Linked DNA regions of Oreochromis niloticus. The protein of the gene in region 3 interacts with the protein of the main gene of each other region in a biochemical or structural test. Links are inferred from orthologs where the notes say so. Each region holds a gene or a part of one and is shown on either strand. Other genes may lie near its edges.

Region 1 (7,655 bases), on a different chromosome or scaffold from region 3:
TGATATGAGTTTAATAAGCTGTAGGTTTTAGGAAATGCTGTCCAGATAGCAGTAAAAATGCTGTTTACTTTCAGTGGTTTAATAACACGGATATGATGTCTTGGTGGGTATTTACACGAGCACAACAGTTTAAGTGTGATTGACCTGAAATTAATTTCACAATCTGTGGTCATGGTAATGAGGCAAAATAATGCCATGTTTCCCAGCAACAACATGGCTCTATTATTTTTTAATATAAAATATATAAACATAATATTTCATTTATTTTGGGGAACGGCAAAGCTCTGTGGAACAGACAAATTAAAAAATATCAGACTTTGACCGCCGACTTCAGCTCTCGTCCTGTGGTTTGTAAGGACGTCTTTCTCTTAATAAACTGCACGTGCCCAGTCTGACTTGTTTTTCCTGAATCTGTGACATATTTTGTTTTTAATTTGGATCTAATTGCTCTAATTATTTTCAATATTATGGACCTGATCACATTCCTGAGTATGGTTTTGAACAAGAAAACTGATAATTAGCCAATCAGATTCAGGAGGACTTTAATCATCCCCAGAGGGAAACTGCAGTTGCTTAAGATTGTGAAGTTGTAAAATTTAGTAATAAGTTTTAATAATTGAAAATGAATGTAAAAAAAATACAATTTAATTCGGCAGCAAGAGGATGAAATGTGTGGATGGCCACAGGAGGTTCAGGGAAGTGTTTAGTCGTTATAACTCTGGGGGTGAACACACTTCTCCGGCTGGCCAGAACAGCGTGCGAAGGGTGGGAGAGGTTGTCCATGATGGAAAGGACTTTTGACATCTTTCTCTGTGCAGACTGGAGATTGTCCAGCTCCACCCCAGTGACTGACCCAGCCTTCCTGAAATGTTTTGGTTTCGTCCGTCATCAGGCTTTTGTCCAAGCAGACTACAGTGTAGGAAACGGACACCACAAACTCACAGGAGATCTGCAGCATGGTGCCACTTAAAATGAAAGTGTGGAGCCTTCACAGAAAAACAATCTTAGCCTTAGCGTACTGAAAAAACGAGTAATACTGCTTGTATGTGTTATTTTATTTCCATTTGTCTGTTTTTGTTGTTTTAACTGGTTACTTTTCTCATTTTATTTCACTGTGCTCTGTAAATCTCTCTGTAAATGTGTATATATGCAAAAATTATTACTCTTACTCATGATTATATTCATCCTGGATCTCCTCGTCTCCTTTATTTGCTGATGTTGAGTTGCACCATCCTTTGATATTTCCAAAAAGCATACCATGTATGTATATTAGCTGTGCACATGCATTTATTTTTATTGAAAAGCACTAAATAAGGATTTTCATTATTACTGATCACCTTCTTTTACCAAAGCAAACAACGGTAGAGTGAGCTGCAGTATATATCTGGATTGCAATGGAAACCTGTGCAGCCCAGATAACCCGCCACTGAATCACACCGGAGCCCCTATTAACTCAGTGACATTTAATGATCCCATTCGGAACCAAAACTTCCTCCAGGCAGCCCATCTTTTTTCTAACTCTTGGTATTTTTTTTTAAAGTGTAGTGATGATCTGGTTTTTATAATTTAGCCCACATCTTCCTTCCCCTCAGTAAAATGGTGGATTATTGCCAGATTAAGGGAGTGCCTTTTTCTTTATCCCTGGGTAAGCCTGCACAGCACGCAGCTCAGAGGTAATGAAGCACTCTGTGATCCGTGCCCGGATGAATCTAAAAATTCCCAGAGCACCACTGTATTTTAAAGGAAATGAGATTTCCCTGAAAGCCTCCGAACCTATGCTTCCCATTTTGAAATGGCTATAAACTGTGGGACTGCTTACAACCTGGTGCAAGAACCTCGACTTGTTGCTGTTTTTAAAATCATTTCAATAAGCACGAAGAGGAAGTTTGACATTGTAACAAATACTGCCGAGGAAGTGTTTGCTTTCTTTGCCTGAGAAAATGATAGCGATTACTAATTCCAATTGAGTCCGCTTATTTTTCAGTCTGACATTTAAATCTACAATTGCCGTGACCTTTACTGACCACCTGTTCAGTCGCTACTAAAAGATTTCTGACAGGCGGTTTATTAAAGCATCCTGGTGTTTTTACAGTCCAGCGGCTGATCCGTGAGGGTGACTGTCACAGGTACTGAGTCATTTATGTGAGTAGGAAACAAAAACTGAAATTAGAACAAAAAAAAATCTGGTTGAGCAATACAAAGCAAAAGTCATCAGCTGTCTGGGAGTTTGAACAGGAATAAAGTTTCTATGTTACCCAAGACTGTCATGCAGAACTGAAATGCTCGTCTGTTGCTGGTGGCTCTGAATGACAGTCCAAAGACATTTTAGTCAAATCTATCATCTATTAAAAAAAACTAAAGAACACTCTTGATCAGTTTTTATGCCTTGGCTATGAGGCATCTTTTGTCATTTTTGTAAATATTAATGATTATCTTTTTCTTTCCTCTGGAAACCATAAGGCTGCTGTCAGACACTGACTGATAGAGGATGCCGAGTGATCTGTTGCAGACACCGAGGGACCCCGGTCTCCCCGAGAAAGTCTACTCTGACCTGACTCGTCCATTGCTTCAGTTTTATCAGCTTCAGTCAGTTGAGTGTTGATGTGAGCCTGAGGTGCGAAGGTGACCAAACTCATCACGCTGGATGATTTGGCCCTCCCAGCTTTTTTGGCCTTACAGCCGTTGTGTTGTAAATGGTTCTTCTTTAAACTGCACCACTTTGCAAAGGTTCGGTTTAGTAGGATTTTAAACTGACGGACTTTTACTGGTAAAAATATTCCATTCTACCTCAAACAATATGCATTCCTTAACCACTGAACAAATATATATAAATTTCAACTCATTTAACCCCAAAGCCATTATATTTATGCACTTTGTTAACAGAATAGCTGATAATAAATGTTTGTCATTCAAAATAACAGTTACAGTTATTTTGGAATCACACAGATTACATATGTCTGCATAGAATTATGTGCCATGATGGTGAAATATTTCATTTGTTGCTTGTAATCTTTAACCCTCTTAAAGCAGTAGATAAAAAGTTTGCTAAAGTTTTTAACAATAAAAGAGAAAACAAAACAAGGGCTGGGGAACATAAATGTTTGCACAAATGGATAACTTGGATAAGGATTTATGTACACATCATGTCCATTCTCTCAACTTCCTTCTGAGTTACGGGCAATTTTTATTTGTGACTTTAGGAAAGTAAGAGCTCTCAAGAAGCACTTAAAGGCAACGTAACAGCAAAAATGAAAATATACTGACATAAAACCGAGGGTAAAGGATCGCCACTAGACGGTGATCATCATTAGGGCAAAACCATCTATCAAATTTATATCGAGAAAAGAGCCAAATTATGCTTTTACAATAGAGAGTTTTATCAAGCCAAACAATTATGAGGTGAGCTGCACACTGCATCGCTTGTTATAGGTCAATGGAAAAAAAGAGGAGGATAAAAACAATCCAGGGCTGGTAATGCACTACAAAACCATTTGGCTGAAAGTCATTCACTGCACTGATCATTTAGGATGGATTTTTATAAAACAAGAAATTAGCTGGCCCACAGCTGCATGCGTAGCTTTGTTTCTCCAGTGGTTTCCTTCCTTCCTGTTGTCAGTATTTTAAAACAAGAGGGGATCTAAGACTCAAGCGTATGAAAATTACTTCTATAAAATCACTGAAATCAGATGCAGATCTTGGATATATTTAATCACACTGAATTGTGAGCACATTCAGAGTTTTGTTGACAGTGACTGACACTTCCATGTCTATTAACCCTTTTTTTCCTCTTCAACATAACATTTGAACCATGTTGTGGTTAAATGTATTAAACTCTGGTTTAGGTATACCCATTTTTCAGACGGCCATTTACTTTGGATAGTTATAAACTTTATTCTAGCCATTACACAGTTAAATCGTGAGTATTATAATTCTGCACGGACCTAAAAATCTCCCCAGTTTCTTTAATATTCCACTATAAAATTTGTTAATGACAACAATAGTGGTGTAGTGGTTTGAATTCAGGATTAAAAAAAATAATAATTTAAAGAGTAGTTTGTAAAATGATAGAAGTGGGAGGATAGGATAGGAAGCTGGAAGCACTAATATCACAGAATATTGATGTGAAACTACATCATTGCCAGGAACACAAATAATGAAATTATAATGTGTTTTGCTTTCTGATTGTAGGTCATCAATTCACGGAACACGATGTTACTTTTTAAGAAAATAGAAATAAAGCCTTTGCTTGAATCATTTCTTCGTTTGTTTGTTTGTTTGTTTTTTTGGGGGGGGGGGTACACTAATTGTGTGCCAGACAGCACAGCTACACAGCTTCATCGCTCCTTTGCACTAACCCCACAGTCATACCTGTCCCTCTGCTACACCAATTTTTGAACCGATATGAATGGAGTGAAAATATTAGAGGGGGGTTTTTAGGAGCCCCTCTTCTTGAGTTTCCCTCCTGTAACGCCGAACCCATAGGTCAGCTCCTGGCTCGAGTTAGAGAACAACCGCAGGCTGTGTGTGCGTTCAGGAAGCTGGAGAGAGGGCAGTGTCGCTCACCTTTCACTGCCATACTGTAACAGGCGTTTGACATGAGACAGCCCCCTAGGTGTCTCACTTTCTCAGTGTTTGTATGGACTGGAGCGCAGCGCCGGCTGCCCGCCTGCCTGCTGCTCGTCTGACTGGCTGCGTTGACGTCAGCGCCGTGTTGATTTGCTAAGGCGAGAGAAGAAAGGACTTAGTGCATGTTCTGAAAGCGGGTACTGCGAACTGCCTTACTATGCTGTAGCCCCAATCCCCCTGCACTATCCGGAATCAAAACGTGCAACTTAGGTGAGTACCAATCCGGGCTAAATGCAGCTGCAGTTTCCCGGCGACAAGTGCCAGACCCGCTACTCTGCATGTGTCTACCACTGTTTTCTTCGCGTACTTTCATTCACCATATGGATGTTTTGATGTGTTTATAGTGCTGAGGATCGGCTTTTTTAATGCGTGTCCCCGTTCAACCTCACGCTGAAGTTGACTGCAAACGCGACTTTGGCATGCGAGTTGGACTTGCGCACCGGAGTTCTGGATGAAAACAAGTGTTTACCTGATTGCGCTGCAAGGTGTTGAAGTTTGCATTAACGCACTGTAGCTCAGTGTAGAGATGTTAATGTTGACGTAACCCCCCCTTCTTCTTCTCGGGCTCGTTAGTATTCTGGAGATCGCAGTCAGAGGACGTGAGGTCTGGCTGTTTCACGGGGAGCCAGACAACATATGACGCCTCGCTGCGTGTGACTTTGAAATCGCGTTAGCTTGTTTTGGTGGAAATTTTGCCCATATTTTTTTTTTTTTAAGACGGCGACACTCATGCTTGTCCTTGTGTCTCCAGACGCACCAGCGTGGCTTATTTAGCCGTGATGACATCATGATGGGGGACTGGAGACACTGGTTTTTACACACGAAACAACCGTAAATCCAGTCACTGTACAGGCGCACTGCAATTGATTGACAGCCAGCTAAATGTTTGATTGGTTACCAATAATCGGCTCGCCGTAGCACGCGCAGCACACTGTGAGGTGGGGGAACTGGTAACAGATGCGATGGCAAATTGATTTGTTATCGAGTGTGTCTGATCTCTCTCTTCCCCTTTCACTCTTTTTTCCTCTTTATCCCTTAGGCAGCTTTCCCGAGACCAAACCCCCCTTCTTTCTCCTTCACTGTAACAAGGTAGCGCTACAGTGTTCATCCTGCCTCAAAGTCCACCTGTGCGTTGATCAAATGAGAGCTGGCTCAAATCGGAGACCCTTGCCTGCCGTCTGTGTCGCGTGTACTTTTTTAGCAGGCACCGGTGTCTGTTTGCCCCCCTCCCCGTACCATTTTGATCTCTCCGCGTTTGTGTCTGTCAGTGTGGCTCATGGTCTGGAATATTGAACGCTGTTTATTCTTGTTGTGGCTGGCTCGTCAAGGCGCGCTATGGCAGACAACTCGTGATCAGATTGATTATGCTGCCTCTCTGTGAAGTCGGCGTGATGTGGTTATTGTCAGCGGTCCATATCGTTCTCCGGGGAGGAAATCTCTCCAGGCTTAATGTACTTAATGTAGTACGTGATGTTTTGCGTAACGCATAATGTTGTGTATAATTTGTCTGGTGCGTCTGGCTAAAATTAACGCCGTCTAGACGCACGCAGCCTTTTTCCTTTATTAATAGAAAACAGACAAAGTCCCCAGACAGCAACTTTACATCCCAGTGAAGCCACAGTTTAGTTGATAACCCACAGAGTGCAACAAGCATTGATCATTTACGGGGCCATAAATCGGCGCTATTGGCATACCTGCAATAAAGATAATGTCGGGTTTTAGGCATGATCTCTGTTTACTGAGAGGCTAATTTCAGTTAGAGGAGAACCTGTGGTTTTATCATTACCTACATTCTACATCGATTTTTGTCAAGGTACGGAAAAGACAAACCGCCCAGTGCCCCAAAAGCCGGGAGAATTATTTTCCGTGACTCTCAGCACTAACAATAGGTGCAGCATCATTTACCCCCTGAATATTCAGATTCAGTGTGTTTAGATCATCTTATTTATATATTATAGAAGGTTTGGCAAGAAAAGGAAACCTTATCGTTTTTTCAAGGTTTATTTTTCCTTTTCAGATGATGTTTCTTCTTTCTTCCTTTTCTTTCTTTCTTTTTTTCTTTTCTTTTTTTTTACAGGTGTGAAGGAAGGGAAAGAGCTGCCCAAGTTGTCTTTTTATTCCCTGTTTCATAATCTTTAAAAATGAATTTGAAGATTATTATTAATAAAAACAATAATAATATTACAAATTTAGACAGCGTGTCACTTCTCACCAGACTTCATCTGACACACTTTGTCATTTGTCATAAGCCTGACGTATTCACTCTTCAGAGAACCTAAAAATTTGCCCTCAGAGAGCTTTTGTAGGTCAAAGGCGACACTAATCTGGTGACCATTCCTGCTTCACTTGGAGTAGGTGCAGTGGCAAATAACTGTTTAGTTAATTGGGACAATGAAGAAGCAGCATAGTTCAGTGTTAAACTGAATGTAGTGGTGAATCTGTGTATGCAATCTAAGCCAGCTTTAATTATTTTTTTGGTGCAGGTCAAAGTATAGGGTTGTGGGAGCGTGTTGCGTTGTTAACTTCAGTAATCAGGTTAACAGGAGTAGGAGGAGGACAAATTTGCGATTTTCAACATTAGCGACTGGGAGCTGTGTTTGGTACAGCAGTGTTGTGTGCTTTTTGCCTCATCCTGCTTTCCTTTCCACCCATTTCTGGCCGCTGCTCTCTGCTCCCGTCTGTGATGAGAATACTGAGTAAGATGCTATTTAATTTCAGAAAGGCTGCTGATGGTCTTTGTGAAGCGAGCGGCAGTGAAAACCCACAATTCACACTTGTTTAACTGGTGTACATACCGATTAGATAACTAAATGAAGACATCTTTTTAACGTAACATATGTTGGACTGATTGGTATGCAGGTTGAGCATGTTGGATGGCTCACAAATTGTTTCCCTTCAGAAATCTACAGTCAATACTCTCTGCTGAATTTAAGAACAATGCCACTGAGCGGAGTGTTTACCACCCTGGCAGGATATTTGCAATTGCCTCACATTTGCCATTTAGAGAGAGAGAGGAAGAGGTGGTATGT
Region 2 (6,891 bases), on a different chromosome or scaffold from region 3:
CAAGAAACATGGTAAATGGGCTGGATATTTATACTACATGCGTCATTCACCCATGCACACCTATTCATAAATCACTTTTTTCTACTCATAAATCCTTTCTAGCTAAATTTCACACACATTCATACTCCGATAAATGCGTTGGGGAGCAACCTGAGGTTCAGTATCTTGCCTAAGCATATTTGGTATGCAGACTGGAGCAGCCAAGGATCCAGCCACCAACCATATAAAGATAAAACATGAAGAACACACAGATACAAAACGTATTCTCTGGAGAACTCTATTTTTTTAACTGCTAAATTTTCTAGAAATTAAAATGCAACTGTCCTCTGCAGTAGAACATATGCGTCAGCTGTTATAGTCTATCTATGGGTGAGTTTAGTGAAATCATACATTATGTGATAACAAGATAGATAGATAGATAGATAGATAGAGATAAATTAGGGACTAATCGAATCATTTAAAATATTTTTCACACGCACCTGTTGATTTTGTTTTCTGGTTTCTCCAGTTCCATCTGTGATTCCAAGCATACTGTCAACCACAGAAAGTAACGAAAGGATAAAAATAGCACTACCTGAATCCTCTGGTAAGAAAGGAAAGAAAATATTCTTGATGCTCGGAGTCAGCGCAGTATGTTTTGGGAAACTATGAAAAACCACTGTGTCACAAGCAAAGTTCTTTTGTTCGCAGTATCTTTCTCTGGCAACACCCTCAACATTTCCTACATCCTTTATGCAACTATCCCTGCGCTGCTGTTGCTGTTGTTTGCAGCTGCTGGTTTCTTTTGCTACAAACAGCATGCTAAGAGGTAAAACTATAACTATAAAAAGCTATGAGAGATTTTTTTTTTTTTAAATGCATTTGATTATATGAGTATGTCCTGTTGATTTTAACTTGGGCCCTCTTTCATATTTAGGAGGAAGACAGAAACAGAAAGCTATCCCAGCAGATCAAAACAGTGGGTGCTAGCAACAGCTTCATCTTGCCCTGTGCAAGGACCTTATGCCTACAGTGACATTACCAAACTGCCTCACACTGCTCTGGACAGCAGGATAGCAGCAGAAATCATGACAAAGTACTCCGGTTCTCCGTCCCATGACTCCCAGTGCAACGATTATGAGAATGTGTCGTGTGTGGACAATGAGAGCGGCTTTGTCACCAATGACATTTACGAGCCCTGCAGAGCTCAAAGCCGGCGCTGCCGCAGTCAGACTGGATGGGTGGAAAATGAGATCTATGGATAACACCGGTGTCTGCAAATGTCCGTCAACCACAGACAGACTACAGTTACACTGTGCGGTGCAGGATTTCTAAGCAGCTTGGCCATATCTGCACAGGTTTCACTCAGTTTTCTAGTCCTGCATGTAGAATGTACTGTGTCTGCAAATCAGTGTATTCCATAAAACAGGGATTCTTAATGTTTTGTCCATGACTCAGTATTCACCTACACATGACTTTATATTTCTGATGTTTTAATAAAAATGTGTTACAGTCAGACCAATGGCACTGTTAGCTCCGTGAATCACTGTGATAGCATGCTGATAGATGTAGACACATTGTTTTCCATATTCACCATCATAGTATGGATGCCCAAAATTGCAGACTAGTTCCACACACTAAATAAAGCTGAAGCTAATCGAATCTGATTGAAAAAGAAAAGGATGAGAAGTTAAAGGACTGCCAAAGTGATTCTGAAGAGGGCACGGATGTGTGTATACAATTTCATAGTAATCCATCCAACAGCTGTTGAGACCCTTGTTGTAATCCACTAATCTTATAGTGGCATTACTACATTACAGGCTATGCACTGAAATGCATAGGCTGGAAACTGCAAAAATACAAAACCAAATCATGTCATAAAGGTTCCAATATTTCATAAGGTTAATGAAAAGTGGGTGAAGATATTACAGAAAAGTTCAAGTGGAATATCAAAAGCATTAGTCTATTTATTGTCTGGGGAGAATGCACAAATTTTCAAGGCAAATTTTGGTCCTGTATTAAAGTAATTCAGGCTAAAGAGGCAGGCCATCTGATAGACTGCTGATAATGCTGTCCTTAAAAATTGTGTTATATTTTAAGTTAACTGAATAAATGGTAAGATCAATTCATCAAGCAGCTAAAGATGTAGGTCATGTACAGGTCTCTAAGCTAAACTAACGGAATGGGCTTTGAGTAATTTTTTATGTTTCAACTCAAAGAAAAACACGTTTTTGTGCCCACTTATTTCCTTTGTTCAGTTTAAACCTTCAGCTCTAATAAATTATGCAACATTACAGCAGCACTAAAGTTCTTAGAGGTTTTAGGAGGCATTAATGAAACCAAAGAAGCATTAATAGTTCAGGTCAGCTTGGTGGTGCAGCAGTGCTGCTGAATCTGACATAACAGATTATGCAATTAGCCTAATCCTGTAATATTGCACCCCCACAGGGTTACTCATTTTGTAAACAATTGTACATTAAACTACTCAGCTTCTCTTTTTAAAATAATGTCAATGGATATGATGAGTCAGAAGACAGAGAGGGTTTGCGTGTTGGCTTGCTGCTGTGATGGAGACTCCAACCCAGGGACTTTTTTGACCTTTTCTCTAAACTTGAACTTTGGTGTCATCCCTGTGTAAGGCTTCCTGTTTGGTCTCTGATGTCAGAGCCCAGCAGAGAACATGAGGAAACACCGATGGCTGAACTGCTGTGGCCAAAATAAACCTCAAAGTTGTGCGGTTTCCTGACTCCACCTGATTGTGCACGAGGTTCAACTTTCCCACTGATCTGACAGAAACTTGAGGCCAGTTTAGAATATATCACACCGTTAATCAATGCATGTGCATTTCCATGTTCATTTTTAAAGATCACTCTTTGCGTTACGTATACAAATGTCTGTGTTTTTTTCTAAATGTGCACCGAGTGGGTGTTGGATCGGTGTCTTGGAAAGATGTAGCAAGCCCAGTAAGGAGAGGCTGAGTGTGTTCTTGGAGAATGTTAGACAGGAAATGCCAAAAGCACATCTGGAACTCTTACATTCAGGAAGTCGATGCGTGACAGCGGAGGCCTTTGGAGCACTGCTCTGCCTGCCTGCTTAGCAATCCACTGTTCTGTTTGACTGTCACTACACAACATGAAGAAAAGCAGTGCCAGTTGCAGAGCTGTGCTGCAATTCAGACATGAAGATAGTTTCTTTTTCTGATGTGTAGTTAAGATATTTTGGCTGCATTCTTTGTTTAATAATAATATAGATATACTGGTGGGATCTGCTTGAAAGCTGCTTGAAAGCATGAAGCGTGATAAGTCAAGCACTGGGGAAAAGGAAAATATGGAGCCTCGCTTCAGTTTTCTACTTTTGCCAACAGATGGTGCTGTCATGTAGCTGACAAAAGTTTCTTTGTGGCTGATAAAATGTCTGATTTTATATGAGGCTCTGTGTATTCCATTATGTAATGTTATAGATTAGAAATGCAGTTGCATAGCTGGATTAATCAGCTACACACACACACACACACACACACACACATATATATCTATATATATATATATATATGTATGTATATATATAAAAGCAACACTAGCTGTTTGTTTGGTTTTTTGCTTCTTAAATTATTATTTTTTACTTTTTTTTGCAGACCCCACTCTGGAGGCTTTCAGGCCGGTTCAGACCGCTTTTAGCTCCTGTCTCCCCCTGCATTTTTCACTCGCAGCCGACAAAAGCTTATTAAACACCTGCAGGGCAAAAACTTCAAAGTTACCTATGCGTGCAATCAAGAAGGGCAGGCGAGCAAACAGATTTCAGAATAGCAATTTTACCGGTTGACGTAAGAGGTGGGTCTGGTTGTCCTGGCAACCAATTGGCACTGAAGTGTGGAGCGGCTCGGTGGCCCCGCCCCCTGTACAAATACCCCTATGGCTTTGACGTCAATACACGTCAACCGGAGAACATGATGCCTCTTTGCAAGTCAACTCGTGTGCTCTGTCGCTGATAGAGGCGCCTCAAGCTGAAATATTATAGCTCTATTGTACTGAAGAACGTGGTGTGACAGCCCGCGGGCTCAGCAAATGGCCAGCTTCGTATCGCCACACTAGCGGACAGGGTCGCCACAGTCGCGTTCAGGCGGCCGAGGGCGACACAGAAATCAACTTTGTGTATTTTTAATGGACACGCTTCGAGCGGCGGCGGTGGCAGCAGCGGCGGTGGCGGGCGGTTTGTTTTCCTTTCGTCTTTATCTCGAGCTGCTCAAGTAAGCCCCAGTCTGCCCCTCGTGTGTCCCTGCACGTCTGGCTGCCTCCTACTCTTCCACTGAACAGTCCCGTTTTAGAACAGCATGGTCATGGCTGACAGTGTCCAAAAACCGCTGATCCGGGGTCCGGTCCGAGTGGGCTTCTACGACATCGAGCGCACTTTAGGAAAGGGCAATTTCGCTGTGGTGAAGTTGGCCCGACACCGCATAACCAAGACGGAGGTGAGTGTGTGAGCAAACTAGTTAGCCCGAAAGCTAACTTGTGCTACTGTTTTAGCGGAGTTATATAACTTTTATGCACAAGTTGACACCCCTAGATAGCGAAATGCTCTCCAGCACCGTGCACTAAATAGCATCTTTGGATCATATAACTACCGGCCACTTGGACTGCTCCGGTTCGAGCAACAGCTGGTGTGCCTGAAAGCTTGCAGGTACAGGAGCAGTGAATGACTGCACGTTCACCCCTCTCAGCTGACATCACTGCCAGTAAAAAAAAATAAATAAAAAAAAGGTCTGACCACTAGAGCTGCTGGGAAACACAAACTGTAAACATGCATGCTTTATTATTATTTTTATTTATTTGTTTTTCTGCACATGCATCCGTTTGGTTAATGACCCAGACGGCAGCCACAGTGTACCTACTCAAGAGTGACTGGTGCCGTATCTGGGGCATGCAGCATGGGTCGGTGGTCCCCTTATGTAATTCAAGTAATGATGTGATTTTTTTTTTATTTTATTTTTTTAGTTGTTTCTTATCTCAACACTGCTCAGAGCTTTGTGATGAGCAGGGTATGTCATGTCAGATATGCTGTAATTGGAAAGCAAAGTATTTTGCATGCACTGCTTTTTAGGGGGGTGGGGGTCGAGGGTCTTAACTAAGCTTGGAGTGATATTAGAAACATTGCACACTCTTAGGCAATGCAGCATGAGTGCAGAGGGAACAGGGCTCGGGGTTTGTTTGAGTTTACTTCTGGGTTTATGTCAGCTTTGTGCAGAAGGGCCCTTTCTCAACCAGTACCACGGAGTGCCACGACTTTCTGCTGTAATGACAGAGACACAAGGAATTTGCTGTAAAGGGTGTTCAGTTAGAAAAAGAAAAGGGGGCAAAGGAAAAAAATAAAATAAAAGCTGTATTGTGTGAGACAGTGATAAGACTGGAGAGCTGCTGCACACTTTGATCTCTGGAGCCTCCAACTGATTACACCGTACAGAAAAAAACAAAGATTTACATCATCCAGGCGAGACCCTTGGTAGGTTTAATGAATAACAAGGCAACAAAATGGCTCTGTAGACTCTTATCTTGTTACTCTGGTTATTAAAGCACGCAAAGTGGCACAGCATTAGTCTAGCCAGGTAATCTGCACCGTGTAACATTAACAGCTCTGTGAATGCAGGTTTTAATTTCAGGCAAACGTTACACCAGGTGATTTCACTAAGCGACTACACCTCTCCCTCAGCTGGAGTGGTATTAAAGATGAATGAAAACATGGGTTGTTTTTTAGGCTGGGTTTGGCAGAGGTCACTCAGTGATGGTCAGTACGGAGAGCGAATGCAGCTGCCTAGCTCTGGCAGTGGGCCTGGCACTGTTGTTTTTTTAATTTTTTTATTTTACAGCAGCCAAGGTCAGCCGGAGTGGCAGGCTATTAACTTATGTGATGCCATCTGCCTTGAGAATTTGCCCGGGCACAAGTGATATTAGCATAGTGTAAAGAAAACCAGTGTACTGACACATGAAACAGCAGATGTGGTGCGACGATGTGAATGTGTGGGCATATTCCCGGACAGGTTTATCTCTGTGTAAATAACCTACTTATTCTGTGCGTGGCCCCTGCATGTGATACTGACCCATTCATCCCAGTAAGTACATATTGCAGCTTGTGGCTTTACATACTGTTGAGCCATTCCCTTCTGGTCTTGTGTGTCAGCTCAGCAAGTAGTACATCAATCCATATCTGATTATAGCGTCATCATGTCTTTCTGCTTTCATTGTATGAGCTAAATTCCCCTCTAACTCATTGTCCTCCAGTGACCTTGTGCCAGCACAGTTCATGAGAAGTCTTATGTGCTGTGTGTGGGTTTAGTTTTGTTGACAATGTAATCAGCTAGCACAGATCTTTTCATGTTAGGTGCTCTGTTGTCCCTCTGTAGCAGAACAAAGATTTTGAATCTCATGCTCGAAGGGTCTGCACAGGTAGCTGGAGTGCCATTAAAAGATTTCAATTTAATCCTGAATTGAACACCTGCCTGTACGTAGCTAGGGAGATGATAATGGAAAGTGTTAAACCTATCAAAATACCCATTGCTACTCATCTGTAAGTCCAAACTGTTAATATGTTAAAGGCAGGTCAATAAGTTACAGATCTGTCGTTAAAATAAAAAGCTGTGCTCACGCTCCGTGCAAGAGAATGCATTACATTTCCTTGACTTACTTGAATAATACCGCTTCACTGACACAGTGGGCTTGAACCTAAAAAAAAAAATATGCAGTGCACTGTGATAGTCGATCACTGCAACTTTCCTGATGAAAATTTTAGTAATGTGAAAAGAATCTGCTGTTTATATGATCGTCACGCTACAGACAAAATGCCTGTGATAAGTGCCCGGATGAAAATCCAGTGTCAGACAGTATTATTTTGGAATCAGATAAATCCTCAAACCACATGACT
Region 3 (7,261 bases):
GTCACCCACAGGCTGTGAGAGCGAGGAGCGACCGACGAGAGGAGCTCCTGCAGCCTCGTCAACACAATAAAAATACAGACAGAGGAGCAGCCGAATTCCCCAGCTCTGTGTGCATCAAAGAATCCTCACGCTGTTCTCCTCCTGGCTGACGAGAGGGAGGAGGAAGAGAAGGAAGAGGAGGAGAGCAAGGAGGAGGAGAGGCAAGGACGTAAATAGCTTTGGGAGAGCGCTCCCCGAGGTTCCATGTTTCCAAAATTAGAACGAAGCACTGAGAGAATGACAGAGAGAGAAGGAAATGGAAGAACGCTGGGATGGCGAGTTTTTAGTCCTCACTGAGAAAATGGGCAGCAGGAGAGGAGATGGTACGCTATCCTCTTATCACAGGACAGAGGACAGAGGATAGTGGAGCTCCACACAGCGACCACAAACAGCTGCTGGTCAGACGGCTAATATTCACTGACTGAGAGTCACTGATGACTGTGTGTGTGTGAGAAACGCTCACTGAGCTACTGAATGAACGTCGACAGAGAGACAGGAGACAGAGGGAGGAGGGTGACCGAGAGAGAGGCTGAAAGTAGATCACTGGGTGGAAAGGAAGTTAGATGGATACAGAGAAAAGTCAACAACAGCTCATTTTACTTCATAGAAGGGAGAGGGAGCAAGGACACGAGAAGAGAAGAGAAGAGAAGAGAAGAGAAGAGAAGAGAAGAGAAGAGAAGAGAAGAGAAGAGAAGCATTTACAAACACAGGCGATTGGGGTGGGGGAACGGTGCTGAAAATAGCCTGCCAGGGTAGAGGAGGAGCTAGAGATAAAAATAGACAGAGAGAGGGGAGAGAAGGAGAGAAGGAGGGAGCAGTAAGCCTGCAGCTCTGGGGTGGGGATGGGAGGGTGGCGGTGGGTGCTTTCATGTTTCTGTGCTGTGCTTGCCAAATACTGTATGTCAATCAAAGAGTGTGGGTGGGCACTGTGGACCTCTTCTCGCTCTGCTAGGTCCACGACCCCCCTTTTTTTTGGGTGCACAAATTGTGGCCATGCAGGTGTTTATGTTAACTAGCGGCGGGCACTGGGGGATGGCACAGTCAGTGTAAGATTGCAGTGTGATATCAGCTCCAGGCATCCACAGTGCCAAGAGGATAAAGCCTACTCATCTGCTGAATGGTCATTTAGTGCCACCAGCTGGCCAAAGTCTCCACCTGACCAATAAAATATGTCAACATTCAGCCAAAGGATTGGCCAACATTCATATCTCCCAGAGGAGGAATCCTGATAACTGTTCCATTTAGTACCACCATCAGGTTGGTGCTGCAAATGGTTCTGCAGCTTTAAGCTGTACTTGCTGTTAAATTGCATTAACAATATTGTTAATCATTGTTTTTGTGAGGCTTCATTCACTTAACCCTTAAACAAGTTTTTATTGAAAAGAAAAGTTGAAGCCTTTAAGACACTTGTTTGAATTAGCTATAACAGTGTTTTACCAGTGGTTGTATTAAGATGTTATTATTTGATGGCTACTTAACTTTTCCTATTCACTACCACCATTTCTTTAAGAGCATCTGCCACTTGCCAGGCTGCCAATACGTCTGTGGTCTTAAGGACTTGCTGGGTTAAACAAAGAGTACACAGCCTCACTTGCACCACCTTGTGGTTAAAAGCTGGTAGTGAAAGTACAGCCCAGATCTAGTTAGGCTTCCGTTAAAATCTCTTAAACACAATACAAAGATGCTTTGGACACAAACTCACAACAGGTTTTTCACATTTTGTTGAAAGATGTCATTTTCAAAATGGAATTTAAATTAAGTATAACTACAAGACTGTGCATAAGTCTTAAGTCACCTCTGATTTCTTCCCATTTTGCTTCCAGTGAGCCAGACCTTTTTTTTTTCTTATATTCTGATCCTGAGCAGTCGTTCTCCAGGCTTCAGAAGATCTGTCAAAATTTTTCTTCTATTCTTTCCGACATTTTTCAGTCCCGTCCTGACTGGACCGTTTTCAGAGAAGTGCTTTTTTGTTAGACTATTTAACACTGACCTATTCAATTATACTGGACCATTCAAGCATGTCTACACATATAGACACAACTGATCAAAGACATCATCTTAGATAGTATCTTTAGGTAGTCTAAAGCCACTGTTTAGTATTACACATTACAAATGAAACAAGGAAAATCTCTTCATGTTTTGTGTGTCTGAAAGAAAAAAGGACGTCAGCCTATCTATGGGAATATCAGGTATTTAAATTGTGTCATGATGGGGTTTTTAAAAAAAAGACTGGACAAGAAACAGTCTTCTACATCACTTTGCGCAAACACCTCACTTCCAATAGAAAAATGTCAGAGAGAATCCTGCAAAGACTTCTTTGTAACTAGAAGCTACACGGCTCACTTTGCTGTCAGCGTGGATATTATTCATTGAAACTGCTCTTTATAGTATTTGTTTGTTCCATTCAGCATTCAGTCATAACAGAAGCTACACATTAAGAATAGGTTTTGGTCCTTGTAACAAAATATAATGGGGTGTCTCTGCTGCTGGCAAATGCAGAGTGCAAGGATTAGAAAAACAAAAGAGGAGAACAAACCGAGCTCTGTGTAATCAGTGATAATACATTTAACAGACGAACAAATCCAGCAGACCAGCTCAGGACTCGTCTAATTCATGTATTTGTCTGCTTTTCATCTCTGCGTTGACCACTGTCGCTGCTGTTTCCTTTCCAGAAATGTTTCTTTGAATCATTTTATCATCACTTCTATCCCACCTCCTCCTCATCACCTTCATCTCCCTCATCATCCTCACCTCCTGTGTAAACAGCTCCCTGTGTCCTCCAGCAGATCTAAGGCTGCCTCAGTATGACTCACAAGTAAAGACTATATACACAGCAAAGGGAGAAAATGTAAATACAGAAAGTTAATTTGAAGTGTCCTGTCTTGTTGCACACCGAACAGGCTGCTGTGTTGCTGCTCTGTTATCCAACACTATGATTATTTATTAAAGACTTGTGCTGTTACCTTAAAATCAGCCTTTCGTGTGTTTATGGTAGCAAGTGAAAGGGACGCGACTGTCCAGGCAACATGTCTGACATCTCAGTGGTCTAACATACCAAACACATCTACTAAAGGTGAGTGTGTGTGTGTGTGTGTGTGTGTGTGTGTTTGTGTGTACTGCAGCAGCTTGGCGGATGACTCATCTCTGCGTTTCTATTTGAGGCGCATCAACCCCTGGAGTCACACTGCTGTCTGTGCGTGCTCGTGTGCGCGTGTATCTACTACATCTGTATCCATGACAACCAAATTACAGCCAGTCAGTCACCCCATCACTCGTCCCAAGACAAAGCTGTCAAAAAAGCCGTGGGAAGGACGCACAGGTACATACTACTCACACATATACAAACACGAACGAAGTTAACCAATGCGATCCAGCACATGGAGCAAAGCAGGAGTCAGAGCTGTCGTTACATTCACTGTGAATGAAAAATGTCTCCCTCACCTGACTAACACCATCAGTAGCAAATATCAAGCATTTTTTAAAATCATGAGGACTGTCGGCAACTCGATTTAAAGACTCCAACCTGGTCCACTCAGATTTCTGACATAAGTCATGTGTCCCAGCATTTAGTGCCCTTAAACATACGCCTACCAGTGATGATGTAAAACGAGGATGACTCACAAGTGTTCAAAAACTTATTACTTTCGTTAAAGCACATGTCTGCAACGACAGCCAGAGACTTGTAATATATTAATATATGCTTTTCTTTCCCAGCATGCTAGCAGCTTGACATAGGAATAGCAATGATGGTCAGTTCTCCACATGTGCAATTACCACCATTTACTACCTTTAGTCTATAGTGCAGAGGATGAATTCTATCACGTGTGCTGACCCCCTCACCTTTCCTCTCGTACCACCATGACACTGGCATTTTTGCTGCCATTCAAATTATATGCATTAACCTCTTGAGCCCCAAGGGGTTTTCTGAGCTTCCTGCTGGAAAATGCAATGCCTCAATTAAATTGATTATTTCTCTGCAATTACAAACTCCGTCCTTACAATCTTTGTATCAAAATGAAGCCAACACTTGGGACATTTAATCAGAGGTGTAAATATTAAAGCGGATATTACTGTGTCAAAGTTACTGAGACTGGAACACAGAAAAAGGAAGTAGATTTTATTCTCGCCTAATTTTTTTCTTCTTTTGCGGCTAATTCAGTGAATTTTGGTCCGATCGTGGTCAAACTTCGTGTGTTTACGCAGTGATAGCCCTGGAAGCTAGCCAGCCTATTTATAACCGGTTACATGAAGACTGTCTGGTTCTCGTTTGCGTGTTTAGCGGACTTCTGCGCATTACGTAACTGCTCGTTTAATCGCGGCTTGTTTGCGGTGTGTTTGGTGGTTGTAGAAATGGTTTATATGACATTGTAGCTGAGATTCTGAGGTTTCTGTGGATACCACACATGTCTGGAGTTATATTTCTCAACCGGCGTTATAACCGATTAAACGTGATCTCCTCCCTTTTGCCCCCGGTACCGGGGGCGTGGGGCTTATTAATAAATCCTTCTGCATGCTCTGGTGTCATTGTCAAGGCTGAGTTTTCATTTTTGTTTATAGTCGAGATGAGCAATGAATGAAAAATGAAATGAGCATGTGTGTATAAAATAATCAATCAATAACTGTAAACTGTTCAATAATCAAGGTTTTGATTTGAGGCCCTACACTGAAGTTACACTCCACTAGCTAAACAAATTAAGCAAGCACATTTCAAGAAAATGACTTTTCATCCTTTCAAAGATCATCTCTCACCCCAAACTACTCTCACTTGACTGCACATGCTCAATTTAGCATGTTTTGTACAATGTAATGATTTAAATGCTGTGGTCGCCTTTGGATTTGCAGCTTGCTCCGGTGACCGTACCATCAGATCCTCATTCAGTTTTGATTTCTTTCATAATGTGCAAAACTAAGATGGTAAAGAACCAAATATCAGCTCTGAGTTAACAAATAGCACTAGTGTTGTTTGTGCATCGTTAGAACAATGCTATTACAATACAACTTATAATCATCTGTCCACGGATTAGTCCCATACTTTCCCCGGTACAACAGCTGCACCATAACTCATCAACTGTTAAGCTTTACTTTTTTTTAAAAAAGCGGCGTGCACTTTAACTGCCATCAGCGCTCGAGTCAACCATGTAATTGTGCCACTTTTAGTAATACAGTCTCTGGCAGGATGACAGGTGTGTGCAAAATGTGTTTTTGTTCCATTAGATGTCTCAAAAAAGCAGATAAGAATAACTTATACACACTTTATACTTAATATAAAGTATACTGAATAGAGAACAAAATACTGCTGACCTGGCCAAGAATGACACCCCATCCCCAAAACACCATCATTAATCCCAATGAGGATCATCTTGTGTCATCACCAGTGTCGAGGGTCATCATTTGTTCCACTTCCGACCCTCTTTTATCAATATTTCAATCCATTCAACTTTTCATTAATGCTTTATTTGTCTTTTCTTTTTTCCTTTTTATTCTCAGTATAATTATTAATATCCAGCAGTAGTAGAACAAGAAAGTAGTAGTAGTGTAGTTATTACTATTGTTGTTATTATCATTATCATTAAACTTAAGTTGTTATTATTATTTATTGCTGTCTTACGTAGCAACACAACACAATGCATTTACATACATGTAACTGACGATCATGTAACATGTAACTCATGTAATAATGGATTGGATTTCATATAGCGCTTTTCAAGGCACCCAAAGCGCTTTACAATGTCACTACTCATTCACTCTCACATTCACACACTGGTGGAGGCACGCTACTGTACTGTACTAGCTACTGTAATGAAAGACTGACACCGATGCTAGCCACCAAATGCACAGACTGAGCTACAAGCTGTGTTTTAACACAGCTGTTAAGGTTCCCTAACAGTTATGTATTCACTTTTATTAAATGACAACCAAATAAAATATTTACATTCATTTTACTCAGAGGAGCATGCACTTTCAGGAAACTTGTTCATTAAAGTAGCAACATTAGCATGTTAGCAAAAATAGCTTCAAATGGAACTAATTAATATCTTAGGTGATCTTTACCATTGCTTAGTATTCATGCAATGAATGTGAATGATGATTATATGATTTACACTGACCGAGCAGGTTCTATAAGCAGGGCGAGGTGTCGATTGACTCCAGAGGGTTTGTGCAGCTCAGAAAGAAAAAGGCTAACTGAGCAAAATCGTTCTTTCTGAAAAGTATTTTACGATTTCCTGTAGAAAACGATCAGGTTGACGTGTTCTGATCTGTGTGGATGATAATAATCATCACAATATCTGTGTAACAAAGGCAAAAACCAACATGATGTAATTATACACTATACTGTGACATGTGCATATTATCACCGTTATACTAAACGAGGATGGGAGCACCCCTCCTAGGTCTGTTTTGCTGGTGTAAACACAGTATTGTTTTGTATGTTTAACACACACAGTATATTGTTGTGCAGATGGATGAAACACAGTGTAACACTCTGTAACTGGATCTAGCTTGCTCCTTATGCTAATGCAACAGCCAGTATACAAATCAGTAAAAGTAACTGTTCAAGATGTACCTACAAACATGCTGCCCAGTATGGCACAAGCTCTCAAACCAACACAGCTCTATAAAATAAGCTCAAGTCTTGCAGGGCTGTCAGTTCTGACCTGGCCAAATCTAAATTTTGACCTGACTTGAGAAAACACGGTAGATAAAGCACAGAGCGAGCTGCAGAGGTCTTTGCGCAGACACTTTGTCTGGAGTAAGTCAGGAGTAAGTCACACACACTTAGCACTGTCAGGCAGCTGGAGTAAAGCTACCTACAGTATGATGACATGACTGCTTTTGATACTGACAGCTTAGATGAGCCAAACATCTGCTAGAAAGTGCTGCTGAAGCATCGAGCCTTTTAGTCGTACTCACAGTGTTTACACAGCACTCAGCACCTTATTGAGCCAGCGCTCAGTATAATTGACCTGAGCTCAAAGCGCAACAACAAAATCACACTGCACAGTAACCCAACCACAAGAACAAGGCCAAAGTTTGCATTGCTCATATGGATTTATCAGGGAGCTTAGAACTTTGACACATTAAACACAGACACTGTATGAAAAAATGAATCCAACATTAGCAATAAGAACATTCACCAGTCCAAACTGGGCAGTTTTACGCTTCCAGGATTCAGGACCAATGATGTTAACTATTTACATATCATGCTGTTTGAAGAAGACTT

The links. The genes of interacting proteins can lie anywhere in the genome.
Region 1: the proteins of hdac5 (region 3) and zbtb16a form a complex in vitro, tested with the Homo sapiens proteins (2 studies listed by BioGRID). The link is inferred for Oreochromis niloticus from reciprocal best matches to the Homo sapiens genes HDAC5 and ZBTB16.
Region 2: of the proteins of hdac5 (region 3) and sik2b, one has a biochemical effect on the other in vitro, tested with the Homo sapiens proteins (2 studies listed by BioGRID). The link is inferred for Oreochromis niloticus from reciprocal best matches to the Homo sapiens genes HDAC5 and SIK2.

Annotation. Positions count from the first base shown.
Region 1 is NC_031975.2:24,768,585-24,776,239, reverse strand, and holds the start of zbtb16a (zinc finger and BTB domain-containing protein 16-A), read left to right. Parts: upstream 1-4,646; 5' UTR 4,647-4,836; intron 4,837-5,095; exon of another isoform or gene 5,096-7,655. UniProt on the Homo sapiens protein: Acts as a transcriptional repressor. Transcriptional repression may be mediated through recruitment of histone deacetylases to target promoters. May play a role in myeloid maturation and in the development and/or maintenance of other differentiated tissues.
Region 2 is NC_031979.2:21,141,096-21,147,986, forward strand, and holds the start of sik2b (serine/threonine-protein kinase SIK2), read left to right. Parts: upstream 1-3,882; 5' UTR 3,883-4,309; coding exon 4,310-4,447; intron 4,448-6,891. Other genes in the region: laynb (layilin), read left to right, coding at 509-586, 691-808, 917-1,244. UniProt on the Homo sapiens protein: Serine/threonine-protein kinase that plays a role in many biological processes such as fatty acid oxidation, autophagy, immune response or glucose metabolism.
Region 3 is NC_031969.2:4,477,313-4,484,573, reverse strand, and holds the start of hdac5 (histone deacetylase 5), read right to left. Parts: upstream 3,001-7,261; 5' UTR 1-3,000. UniProt on the Homo sapiens protein: Responsible for the deacetylation of lysine residues on the N-terminal part of the core histones (H2A, H2B, H3 and H4).